Styela clava: one gene and its partners. The protein of the gene in region 1 purifies or fractionates together with the protein of each later gene. This does not show direct contact. Links are inferred from orthologs where the notes say so. Each region holds a gene or a part of one and is shown in the gene's direction. Other genes may lie near its edges. The genes, in order: protein FAM98A-like; RNA transcription, translation and transport factor protein-like; uncharacterized protein LOC120343555.

Region 1 (3,758 bases):
GAATTTTGTCGCGGTATTTTGGAGTTCAGATGGACGTAATGATTAATTGCTCATTGCATACGAGCAATGCCAGCATTAATCACATTCTCTGGCATCTCAATTTACTTTGGTAAGTCAACGGAACTGTTGTTGTTGTTGTTAGTACATCTTTCTGTGCTTTGAAGGCCCAGGAACGCAGCTATTCATGTGTTCAATTTTCGTAATTGCGTCTATAATACGCTAGCGAAGGTTATCTCGCAGTCGAGTGGAACTGCAATTCCGTAGGTTAGACCAGACGGCCTACCGGCGAACTATTTTCATTGGTAGATTTCAAATTCCATCATGATCAAATAATTCACGTACAAGAAAGTGAATACCCCCTGACCCTGTGATCGCAAATAATCCTATTCAGGTAATGAAACTGCCGTGGAAAGTATGCAAACGAAGTCGCTATATAATAAATTATTAGTCTTGTGTCGTGGCCCCCCTCGAACTGCTTCGTGGCCCCTGTTGAGATCGACTATGGGAGAAAGCAGGCTGCCTGTGCCAGCAATACTGCTCATTGAAAGTGATTTAGTCGAGACATTATCTTTTGACGATATTTTTTCTGAATTTGCTTCAATGAAAACTAGACTTCGATAAAACTTTCGATGAAATTTACTATTCACTGCTTTAATTCTTCTGTTGTGTTGAATTTTATTCAGCTTTTACAACACAACAGGAACCATTCTATTATAATGGCTACAAGTAAAAAAATGTTACGTGGTTATCAAGAAATTCCAGTACATGTAATTGCTTTTAGTAGTCAAAATAGTCAATAATGGTTGGTATCCCAGATAGAAAGCATAGCCATAGAGTGAAATACATATAGTGATTTTTAAAATCAAGTACCGGTATAAGTCCATAATTACCGGTAGTTAAGAAATCGCTTGACTCCATATCAGAAGGTTGCGTGTTCAGATCACGTCGGATTCACCAAATATAGTGATTAGTTATCACCACACGTAGATTGTTTGTAGATTTGATCTAATTGTGTGTGCATTGTATTTCTGTATATTTCGTCGGAATTGCAATAAACTCATAGGATGTGGATTACCAATGTAACGCTTGCAGAAAATCAGATTGCATGAACTGATAACGCAGAGCTCAAAATGACCGGAGCGGACAACTTGCAGCAAACTATAGATACGATATATATATTCACCAAATATAGTGATTAGTTATCACCACACGTAGATTGTTTGTAGATTTGATCTAATTGTGTGTGCATTGTATTTCTGTATATTTTGTCGGAATTGCAATAAACTCATAGGATGTGGATTACCAATGTAACGCTTGCAGAAAATCAGATTGCATGAACTGATACCGCAGAGCCTAAATGGCCGGAGCGGACAACTTGCAGCAAACTATAGATACGATATATATCTGTATATAGGCTTTGACTTACAGCAATATTTAGGTGTTGCTCTCACCAGGAGACAGGGGGATGTAAATTTAGCATAGCCTATCTGGTATCATTTTTCTTTCGAACATGTATTTTGGTGTGAAAAAACTAGGCGCAGAAGTCAGGAAGTGGTGCACAACGCAGGTTCGTAAGCAGATACGATAGAAACGCTTTAGGATAGGATTTACATAATATGTATCCCGGGCAAAAGGAAAGCGATAAGACGGCTTAACCGGTTCCATTACATTTGAACCCACGTACATTTGAACCCATGACAATTGCACCTGTATGCTATTGCACCTATGGAATTTTTTTTGTTTCACGGATAGTTAAACCCATACTAACCCTAACCCATGGGTTTTAGCACCCGCATATAGATTGAACCCGTGGATATACGCATGGGTTCAAATGTACGGTCACCGGCTTAACCATATGGCGAACCACGGCCTCTCGCCCGGTTACCATTCCAAGTCGGGTACCCGGTAGGTATGAGATTTGTTAGTTATTTGTTTGGTCTCGTTGGTTATTTGGACTTTATGGTACAGGAAGCCGTAACCGAACAGCGGTTACGTGAACCACCCAACGGCGGCGAGAAGTCCAGCGATCCTCTCGCACATTACCATCCCTGCATGAGATTCGAACCTGCGAACCCACGCAGAGTAATCAGAGGCACGAGGGCAGCGTATTCCTAACGCTTAGCACGATGAGCCACACCGCCTACAGACCACTGTCCACTGTCACACCAGCCAAATATCAAATTTGCCTACAGGGGTGGTGACTCTTCTAAGGCCCATGGGCCGGGGCCACGGTCCATCTAATTGGGCCACATGGACCGTGGCCCATCAAGCGTTGGGCCGCTGCTCCATCAGAAAAAATTCAGATATTTTATCAAAATTTTCAATTTTCACGAAATTGTCAATATTCGAACCAAAAAAAATCGTGGGATGCCACAGGAAAGGATACTTTTGTACCGTAGTATGTGTACCAGGTTGGGGTTAGGACAAAATTTTGTTCAGATTTTCCAGATTATAGTTCTATTATGAGTTCGGGGACTGTCTGTGTTAGCCAAGTGAATAGTCCCTTCACAGAACTTGATGGGCCAATTCGATGGGCCGTAGAGGAGTCACCACTTCTACTCGTTTATCATCTGATTGAGCCTTGTTATCGACTTTCCTCACCCTCTGGATAAATATGAAAATTCTAAATACAGTACCTACTGAACTAGCTTTTATTCTGGTCTGTTATTACTATTCTCCAGAATACATCAAGGAAAATTGTATTAGGCTTTTCAATTTAAATAGACATAACGTGGCACTGATCATGAGCGACAATACATCAATGATTCAGGATATCTTGGATAGCTTAGATGATTTGAGGTACTTGTTGTTTACTCTCTTTCGTCAGTTAATCATCATATGTCAGATTGATGACTGACAGATTAGCATATGCTGATATGGTACAATGCACAGGGGTCAGCATTCAATAAACATGATCTGATGATAGTGTAGATTGGTACAAATTGACAAAGGTGGATTGGTCTTAGCTTTAAATATTAAAATTGGCGATGAGGCATGTCTTATTTCGAGTATTTGTTTTTTTAGGTTATCAGGCAATATCAAGGATGAAGTCTCTTTGTGTGCGGTTGTAAAGAATGGTGCTTCATCACCAAAGTACATCCAACTTGTTGCTACTGCTGCAAACGAACTTGCTCTGCTGCTTCAATTAGAAGAGAGAATAACTCCAGGTTCGCTCTTGAATTGTGAAATAGAGGTCATTCAAGTGTGTCATAATTCCAGAGATCTAGAACAGGGGTGTGCAATCTGCGGCCCTCAAGGAAAAATTGTGCGGCCCACGGAGAAATGCTAATTGTGATAGATGTGCGTCCCGCGAAATGAGTTTTCAATTCAATTTGGTCTGTGCGTTGCGAAGCCTATACCTGAGTCCAATTTATTATCTATGAGTCATGACTATGCCTTAACAACTAGCTCGTGCAAGCAACGCATCACGAGATCAATAACCAAAATTTTTTTGCTTGCATCTAGTAGATAGCCTATGTAAGGCGCGACCCGTGGTTTCCCCCAGTTATTTGAATCTGACCCTCCTGTATTAAATGTTGCACACCCCTGATCTAGAAGTTAGAACATTACTGTGGTACGGTACTTCTAAATTTCGTGGAACTTATTATAATATTATTGGAGAGGTCTAGTTCAAAGTTTTGAAGCAAGTAAAGGTGTGCAAAACGCTTGTGAGTAAACTATAAGTTACGTGAACAAACTTGGTATAACCCTATTGGAAAAGCCTGCCTGTAATGAACAATTCTTGTCAACTGATTCAA
Region 2 (3,758 bases), on another chromosome or scaffold:
TTATCATATCAGGGGGATTTCTACTTTTAGTCTGTCATCTGAGGGATCGGGGCCTTGGTTGAAGCAAATTTGCAAGTCTTCTGTTAGTAGGTACTCTTTTAACTTTTAGTTGAGGTTTCGGGACCTCGAATTGAGCAAATTTGCAACCCTTCTATCTACTCTTTGCAACTTTTAGCTAAGGCAGTAAGGGATCGGGACGTTTCTTTGAGCAAACTTGCAACTTTTCTATCAGCACTCTCTCCACTTTCTGACTTTTAGTTGAAGGCTTGGGACTTTGCTGTGAGAAAACTTGCATCTCTTCTATCAGTACTCATTTAACTTTTAGTTGAGGGTTCGGGACCTTGCTTTGAGCAAACTTGCAACTCTTTTATCATCTACACCGTACGCTTTTTACTTTTAGTTGAGGGGCAGTGACTTTGCTTTGATTGAGCAAACTTGCAACTCTTCTATCAGTTGCTTGGAATAACTGCCGTCGTGCCAGATGCCCTGGTTTTGGAGACAAATAGAGTGTTTTCTGTGTTGAACCAAATTTCAAATTGAATAACTGTGCCATATTAAACTGAGTCAATGAATCAAACCCCCCCAACAATTTCTATTTCTCTATATTCTGTTGCATTTACTGAATTTTAGCCAACTAAAGAGTTTTATTACACTTTTAGTTCAGAATATCTAATTTCTAAATCTGTTATAATTAAACAGCACTACTGCACTATGACTTCAAAATCATTCCATATTTTATTGTGCTGCACTGGAAGTGTGGCGTGCCTGAAGATACCTTTACTAATACCAGCTTTAAAAGAGAAATTTGCGGGGTGTGGAATTAAGGTGGTACTTACGGAGAATAGCGAACATTTTTTGAATTTGGAAGAACTTTCTAAGGAAGCTACCATTATAAAAGACAAAGAAGAGTGGAATGTATGGAAAAAACCTGGCGACAGGGTTCTTCATATTGATTTATGCAACTGGGCCGACCTGGTACTATTTGCACCTCTGGATGCAAACACTTTAGCAAAACTAGCGAACGGTTTATGCGATAATTTAGTATCGTGTATCGCACGAGCTTGGGATTTTAATGCCAGACCGGTAGTGTTTTGTCCGTCCATGAATACCCAAATGTGGCTACATCCAGTTACTGCACCCCAAGTCGAAACCCTTAAAAAGTGGGGGTGTAAGTTTGTCTCCCCAGTCGTGAAAGTACTAGCTTGTGGGGCTGAAGGAATCGGTGCCATGGCTGAAATAGAGGAGATTGTTGAAGCTGTCAGTCAAAATGCTCCAAAATAAAAAAAAATTGAAAAACTTCGAAGTTATCATTGTAAATGTCCATATCTGGATAATGTCACATTCTGAAATTCTGCATTGCAATCAATTTATATTCAGAACATTCAGGCCGGACTAATAAATATAGGGTGTAAGATCTTAAAATTTTTTCAAATTGTAAAGGGAATTTATCGATACCATATATTGTTTTGACCCTCACAGATGTAATGAATTGAGTAAAAATACTTGCACATTTTCTGATTAAAAAAACAACAAACCTGGTTAAAATTTATTGAGAACTGAATTCATAACAAAATTGAAATTGTAAAGGGACTTTATGGACACCCCGTATGACAAATTTAACTCCTATGTAATTTTACTGCAAATAACTCATATTTTACATGTAATCAGGGAATTTTACAGTATATATTCTTGAGGAAAACTTACTTAGATAACCTTATTTTCAGTTTTGTTTAGAACCAAATTTGCCTTGTTATCATGTGTTATTATTTCAGCTGTCTAAAATAATGCTGTCTTAAATCAAAATTCATCAATTTCATGTTATTGAATCTCAGACAAAAGCACACTAATAAAAAGGCAATGAATATTGTGTAATATTTGAAGCATTTCGGTACAACATGTAAACATACACATTTTTCACTTAGCAATCAATGGACAATAACTAAGCAGAATTATTTAATACTAACTTGGCTATGTCACTGTCAGTCACAGTCCATTGATTTTTGAGATAGAAAAACATTTTTTTGTTATGTATTATCAACTATTAGTTCATGTGTGTTCCAATTTATGCACTTTTTTCCTTCATTCTGAAGAGATGAATATAATTTCTTGTTCCATTCCTATGCTATGTCCAATAATCCAAGAATACACTTTCTTATCTTTCATTTTTTCATCAGATATGTAATGTACAATATGAATAAAGCATTTCAAAGAAAACTCTCAGCTTTGCAATTCCCACAAGCCTCAAAGTTCAATGCAAATGGTGAGGAGTTGTTTTGTTCTTGTGTAAAGATTATAAAATTTATAAATGTAAGGGGCGGGCAAGACAGCGAGATGAACGAGGTTGACTGACAGTTTTTGATTTCAAAATACAGACTTTAAAGTTTGAAAATGAATTAAGAGAGAATGTTTGTTGAAAGACGAGGCTCCTATGGCTTCAGCTTTATCTAGGTCAGTGGTTCTCATTCTTTTTTTCTGTCGTGGCACATTTTTGTTGCACAGGAATTCCGTGGCTCATTAACTTTTCCATGCCAGGGTATAACTACAAGAACAAGAGAGCTACGCCCAAATGTATGGACATGTCTGTTCGCAGTACAGTACGGTTTATCGCACCGTCAGATCACAGTCTACAAATATATTCACACCAAGCGAAGCAGTACAGTCGGACACAAAATGGCGTCCGATGTCCGCAGAACGTTCGGTGACGTCATAGCAAACAAAAACAAATCTCACAGAACTAACAGAAATATTTGAAATAAATAAATGTAATAGCCTTCTGGAGAAAAATTTTATCTGTAACCACTGAAAATTTCAGAGCAATTGGTCCAGTAATCAAAAAGAAAAGCGACTTTTTAGATTTTCCACTAGGTGTCCAAAAAGTGGTGTCAAAGAACAAGAACAACAACATAATATTGAAACGATCGCTATGTCCACTACGTGTCCAAAAACAAATGAATCTTCCTACAATAAAAAAAAAATTCACTTGAATAATTAAAATTACCACTCTGCAGCTAACAACAGCAGCATCATTTTAACTATAGTGACACAAATAAAACTAAATTTTCGATAACTCTTGCAATTTTTGACAGGTTTTCATGGCCCAGTAGTGAGCCATGGCCCACTGGTTGAAAACGGGTGCTCTCGGTAAATCTGGCATCAAGACTCCTTTTTTGGTCAAATAAACAGATTTGCTAGTTCAATTGCTTCTGTTTATCATGACACATTTTTTATTTTTCCTAGATGACAAACAATTCAAACTCATCATACTTTGGATAGAAGACCAAAAGGTTCGACATTACAAAATCGATGAAAGACAAGAATTAAGGAAATTTGAGGTAATTGGTTGTTTAATATTAAAAGATTGATCCAAATTGACTTCCAATTATATCGCAAAATATAAAATCAATCATAGCAATGTTCATTCTAACTTTTCTGTATTACTAAATCGAATCATAATGGGAGCCTCTTCCCCGAAGTATCCAACTGAATATCCCCGAGGCCAGTTGCACTCATATTCTCATATGAAGACCCTCCCCCTAATTAGCATATTCAAGGTAATTTCGCAAATTTCTTTATCGAGCTGATCCCAGTCCAGAATATATTCAAATTGGTTATTATCTCTGTTTGAACACTTGGACAAATTTGCTCACTAACTTTTTCTGTTGTCTGATTTGTAATGTTTTTAGGAGCCAGCATGGACGAAAGCATTTACTAAATATTTGACAGATGTGATGTGTCCTTTCTCATCTAGCGATAAAATG
Region 3 (3,758 bases), on another chromosome or scaffold:
ACATTCTTCCCATAAATTACCATTGCGGCACTTCTATGGCCATTTTCGCGAATCAGTGCTGCAACAGCTTTTTTTAAAGTAAAATTTCGATTTTGTTCTCCTAACATAATTGCGCTTTTGGTAGAGTTTAGTTGGTACAAAGATGGTGGTGAATGGACGGGCCCTAAGAATTCAAGATAATGTTTCAAATTCTTATTCCAACCCCTAAGCAAGTGCGTTGACTGATCATTCTCACAAAATCTTCACAGGAAGCGTCTGATAAATAGCGTCAATTGGTGCAACTTTGTGCTCTATCGTTATTAGCAGCTTAAATCGGACTTCAAAATTGTAATGATCGAACCAGATATGAATATCTCTGTGGCAGAATATCAAAGTGAATTTGTTAGATCAAGCGACAGATCTATCAGACAGGCCCGCGATCATGGAAACCGATAAAAAGCGCAAAACCATGTTGCGTCATTGCGTCGATGATGAAGGAGACTTTGGCATCACATGTCGCGCGGCTTCGTATTTTAGACGTTGTTGCGTCTGATAAATTTGTTTTCAGTTTCGGCTGCGCCATCAATGCGTTTCGGTACAAGTAAACTATCAGAATATTTAACATTTGGTAGTAATGAAATAATAAGTAGACTATCCATGATGACTGATTTATGAACAATACATTATAGGCTAGCTAGGACATTGTTGTCAAAATATCACGGTACCGTACCGGTACTCGTACCGAAACCGGTATCAGTTTTTCTAAATGCATAAATGGGTCACGCATGTCAGCATGTGATGTACCAGCAATTCAGCATACGGTATGGTAACGAAACCATTGTACTATTCAATTCAAGAGTCTTGCTGCACACGAACACAAATATATTTATGTAACGTTTCGTCTGACTGAGGTCAGACTCAACTGTTACAGAAATATATGTGTGTTCGTGTGCAGCAAGACTCTTAAATTGAATAGAATAGCCATTTACACTCTTGCTACAGCATCCTTGCATAATACGCATACGGATCCACCTGCGCAAACGCATAGAAAGCAAGGAAAGGTAGTTAGTTTCACGCAACCTCAACTGTTAGAAACCATTGTCTGATTGTACAGTACAGATATACCCGTAACGTCAGAACGTACCACAGTACCAACTGACCTATTGTAGTATTGTGCAGTACGGTACGGTACCCTACCGGGCAAGATATTCTGATATTACACCTATGAAAATATCAGTATAGCAGTATGATACAGCACTGTCATACTGTTGCATAAATCAGTACCGTACAGTTCATTCACGTATAAAACATGCACTAGCAATGATTTTCACATTACAGCATTATGGATTGTATAAATTTTTCCAAAAAAATTTGCTATTTTTAAAAGTGAAAAATATGCTCATTGTTCAACTGTTCACACTCAACCTCGAATAGAACGTTTAGCATTTCAGAACTTTGAACATCTATCTGCGTTGAGACTTCAAAATTGACCTCATTCAGTCATACTCTGCAGTCAGGCAGTGTGCAGAAGAATTTGATGCATCTCGAGTCATACTCTCAGCTCTATATTGTAGTTGAATATGATCGTCATAACGATGCTAGTAAATATTTTGATGAATGAATTTTTTGTATCATGAATCTTTTATGGGAATTTTATAGAAATTATAACCTAGTGACAGCAATATTAACAAAAATAAATAACTGACTAGGTATATAAATCAAATAAGTTCAAAGCACCCCATTTTCAACCACAGAGAGTGTGCAACTTGCACTCTAGCTTTCGTATGGCTGGAATTTTTATAGTGTGTGCATAAATATTTATAACAATAACTGAGTAATAATTTTTGACTAAACAATATTAGTAAGCTACACCGAATACAAAGTTATTTTTCTGTAATATCTCCCTGGTTGGAAAACGCTGCTGTAACAGCTATGCATTTTTATCAAGTTGCTATTATTGCGAGAGGCAGCATGAACTAATTACACATTTGGTACAATTTTGGATGTACTTGCCAGTTCGCAAAAAATCTTGATTTGAAATTTTCCTCATTGGCTATTTTTGAAATTTTTTCTTATTGGCTAAACCTTTTTGTAATTTATCCAAGTTTACCTAAAATGGAATTTTTAAATTGCAATTTGTTAGTGATTACGGTAGTATGGAATTCTCAAGTTTACGCTGTAAATAATAACCAATTTGTCCGTAATATATTGTTTTGAAATTAGTTATAACATACTTTGTTTTTAGGTTATTTACCTTATTGCCAAATCAGGCTTTCTAAATTTGAAAGTGACCAATAATTGCTATTCTATAATAGCCTTATCAAATTTATTGTTCAAAATTTTTTTGATGATTCAAAGCAAAGAAAACTAGGAAGGTTTGAAATCAACCTGAAATGAAAATTCTGGAATCTGGTTCTTAAAAGAAGTACATCGGATCAATTTTCATCTTTTTAATTGCGGAAAATGTATACACTGTTTCGTGAAATAGTGAAATAACATTTTTCATGAAGCGATTTTATGCAACCAAGTGTTGAATCAAGCTTTGTATTTATGATAATTTCATGTCAATGCTGAAACTGATACGACAACTAATCGTTCATCGATAAATTCTCAAATCCAAAATGTCTGGAGCAAGCAAAGGTAGAAAGTCAAAGAATGTGAGGTGAGTTTGCCCTCGCTTTTATATATGCTTTTTTTCTAATTTTAAATAAATTTATCAGTTATTAAATTCTTTTTGTACCCTAACACAAATGTATTTCTGTAACAGTTCTCTGTAGAGATGCCCTGAACATTTCCTATATTTGTCATATAGACTTCGTAAATTTACTTTTGTGAAATGCCAGCCCATTAAATATTCAAATGTTCCCAGTGTTTTATAGTAGGATATTTTCTTTCATACTACAACCTTATTACCATGTCGCACACTTTTTAATAACACTGTTACATTTATTGTCTCAACCTTTTACGTTTGTCGCATTTCTTTATTACTTCCTGCAGTTCCATTTGTTTTTATATCAATCATTACAAAACTGATCGATGTAACTCTGTTCCCTTGCTGTTCAAGTCAGATTTGTAGATATGATATACTTTCGTGAGATGTTTGAAACATAACCCAAAATAGGCAAGGAAATTTATTCGGTTAAAGTAGGGAACATTTATCATTATTTTTTTTTCAGGCCGGGGTCGAAGAAGAATTCTAGCCAGAATCAAAGTCCGGTATGCAAATAATCTAGATGAATATAATTTACTGAATTATCCTAATTATTTTCTAAACTTCCCTTTCCATATTGATCTTTTTATAAATTTCTGACACTTCTATATTAGCTTCATATAGAAACTCAACTTGGTTTTCCAAAAGAAACTGAAATTCTTACAAACTCAGTTCTAATGAATATGATATTTCAGCAATAGGGGAATCAAACTACTATTTGAATAGTATTCTTACATGTGCCAATGCAATGTATTATGAGGAATAAACCCAAATCAAATATAACATATGCCATGCAGTGCATATATCAGCAAAGCAATTTTTCATCGATATACCTAATTGGTGTGGAGCGGTTAAATTTGAAGAATTTGTATTTATTTTCGATATCCACACTTGAAATTTCTAATAAATATTGAGATTGTGAAATGGTTATTCCTCCTATTATTCTTAAAATAAATTCGTCTTTTAAACCCAATCTGTGACATTTATTAATTTGCTTTGTGAGAAATTCATTATTCCTATTTTGACTATTCCATTTTTCAGCCATATGAAGGAGCATATGGAAATGCAC

The links.
Region 2: the proteins of protein FAM98A-like (region 1) and RNA transcription, translation and transport factor protein-like purify together in Homo sapiens (affinity purification with mass spectrometry; 4 studies listed by BioGRID and IntAct, with this or other methods). This does not show direct contact. The link is inferred for Styela clava from reciprocal best matches to the Homo sapiens genes FAM98A and RTRAF.
Region 3: the proteins of protein FAM98A-like (region 1) and uncharacterized protein LOC120343555 purify together in Homo sapiens (co-immunoprecipitation; 3 studies listed by BioGRID and IntAct, counting the BioPlex papers as one, with this or other methods). This does not show direct contact. The link is inferred for Styela clava from reciprocal best matches to the Homo sapiens genes FAM98A and ATXN2.

The regions. Positions count from the first base shown.
Region 1 is NC_135250.1:11,661,005-11,664,762, reverse strand, and holds the start of protein FAM98A-like, read left to right. Parts: upstream 1-1,441; 5' UTR 1,442-1,567; intron 1,568-2,681; 5' UTR 2,682-2,743; coding exon 2,744-2,799; intron 2,800-3,024; coding exon 3,025-3,167; intron 3,168-3,758. UniProt on the Homo sapiens protein: Positively stimulates PRMT1-induced protein arginine methylation. Involved in skeletal homeostasis. Positively regulates lysosome peripheral distribution and ruffled border formation in osteoclasts.
Region 2 is NC_135255.1:20,598,997-20,602,754, forward strand, and holds the start of RNA transcription, translation and transport factor protein-like, read left to right. Parts: upstream 1-1,281; 5' UTR 1,282-2,124; coding exon 2,125-2,260; intron 2,261-3,237; coding exon 3,238-3,332; intron 3,333-3,683; coding exon 3,684-3,758. Other genes in the region: phosphopantothenoylcysteine decarboxylase-like, read left to right, coding at 712-1,281. UniProt on the Homo sapiens protein: RNA-binding protein involved in modulation of mRNA transcription by Polymerase II. Component of the tRNA-splicing ligase complex and is required for tRNA ligation.
Region 3 is NC_135252.1:15,483,030-15,486,787, forward strand, and holds the start of uncharacterized protein LOC120343555, read left to right. Parts: upstream 1-1,281; 5' UTR 1,282-2,600; coding exon 2,601-2,641; intron 2,642-3,155; coding exon 3,156-3,195; intron 3,196-3,730; coding exon 3,731-3,758. UniProt on the Homo sapiens protein: Involved in EGFR trafficking, acting as negative regulator of endocytic EGFR internalization at the plasma membrane.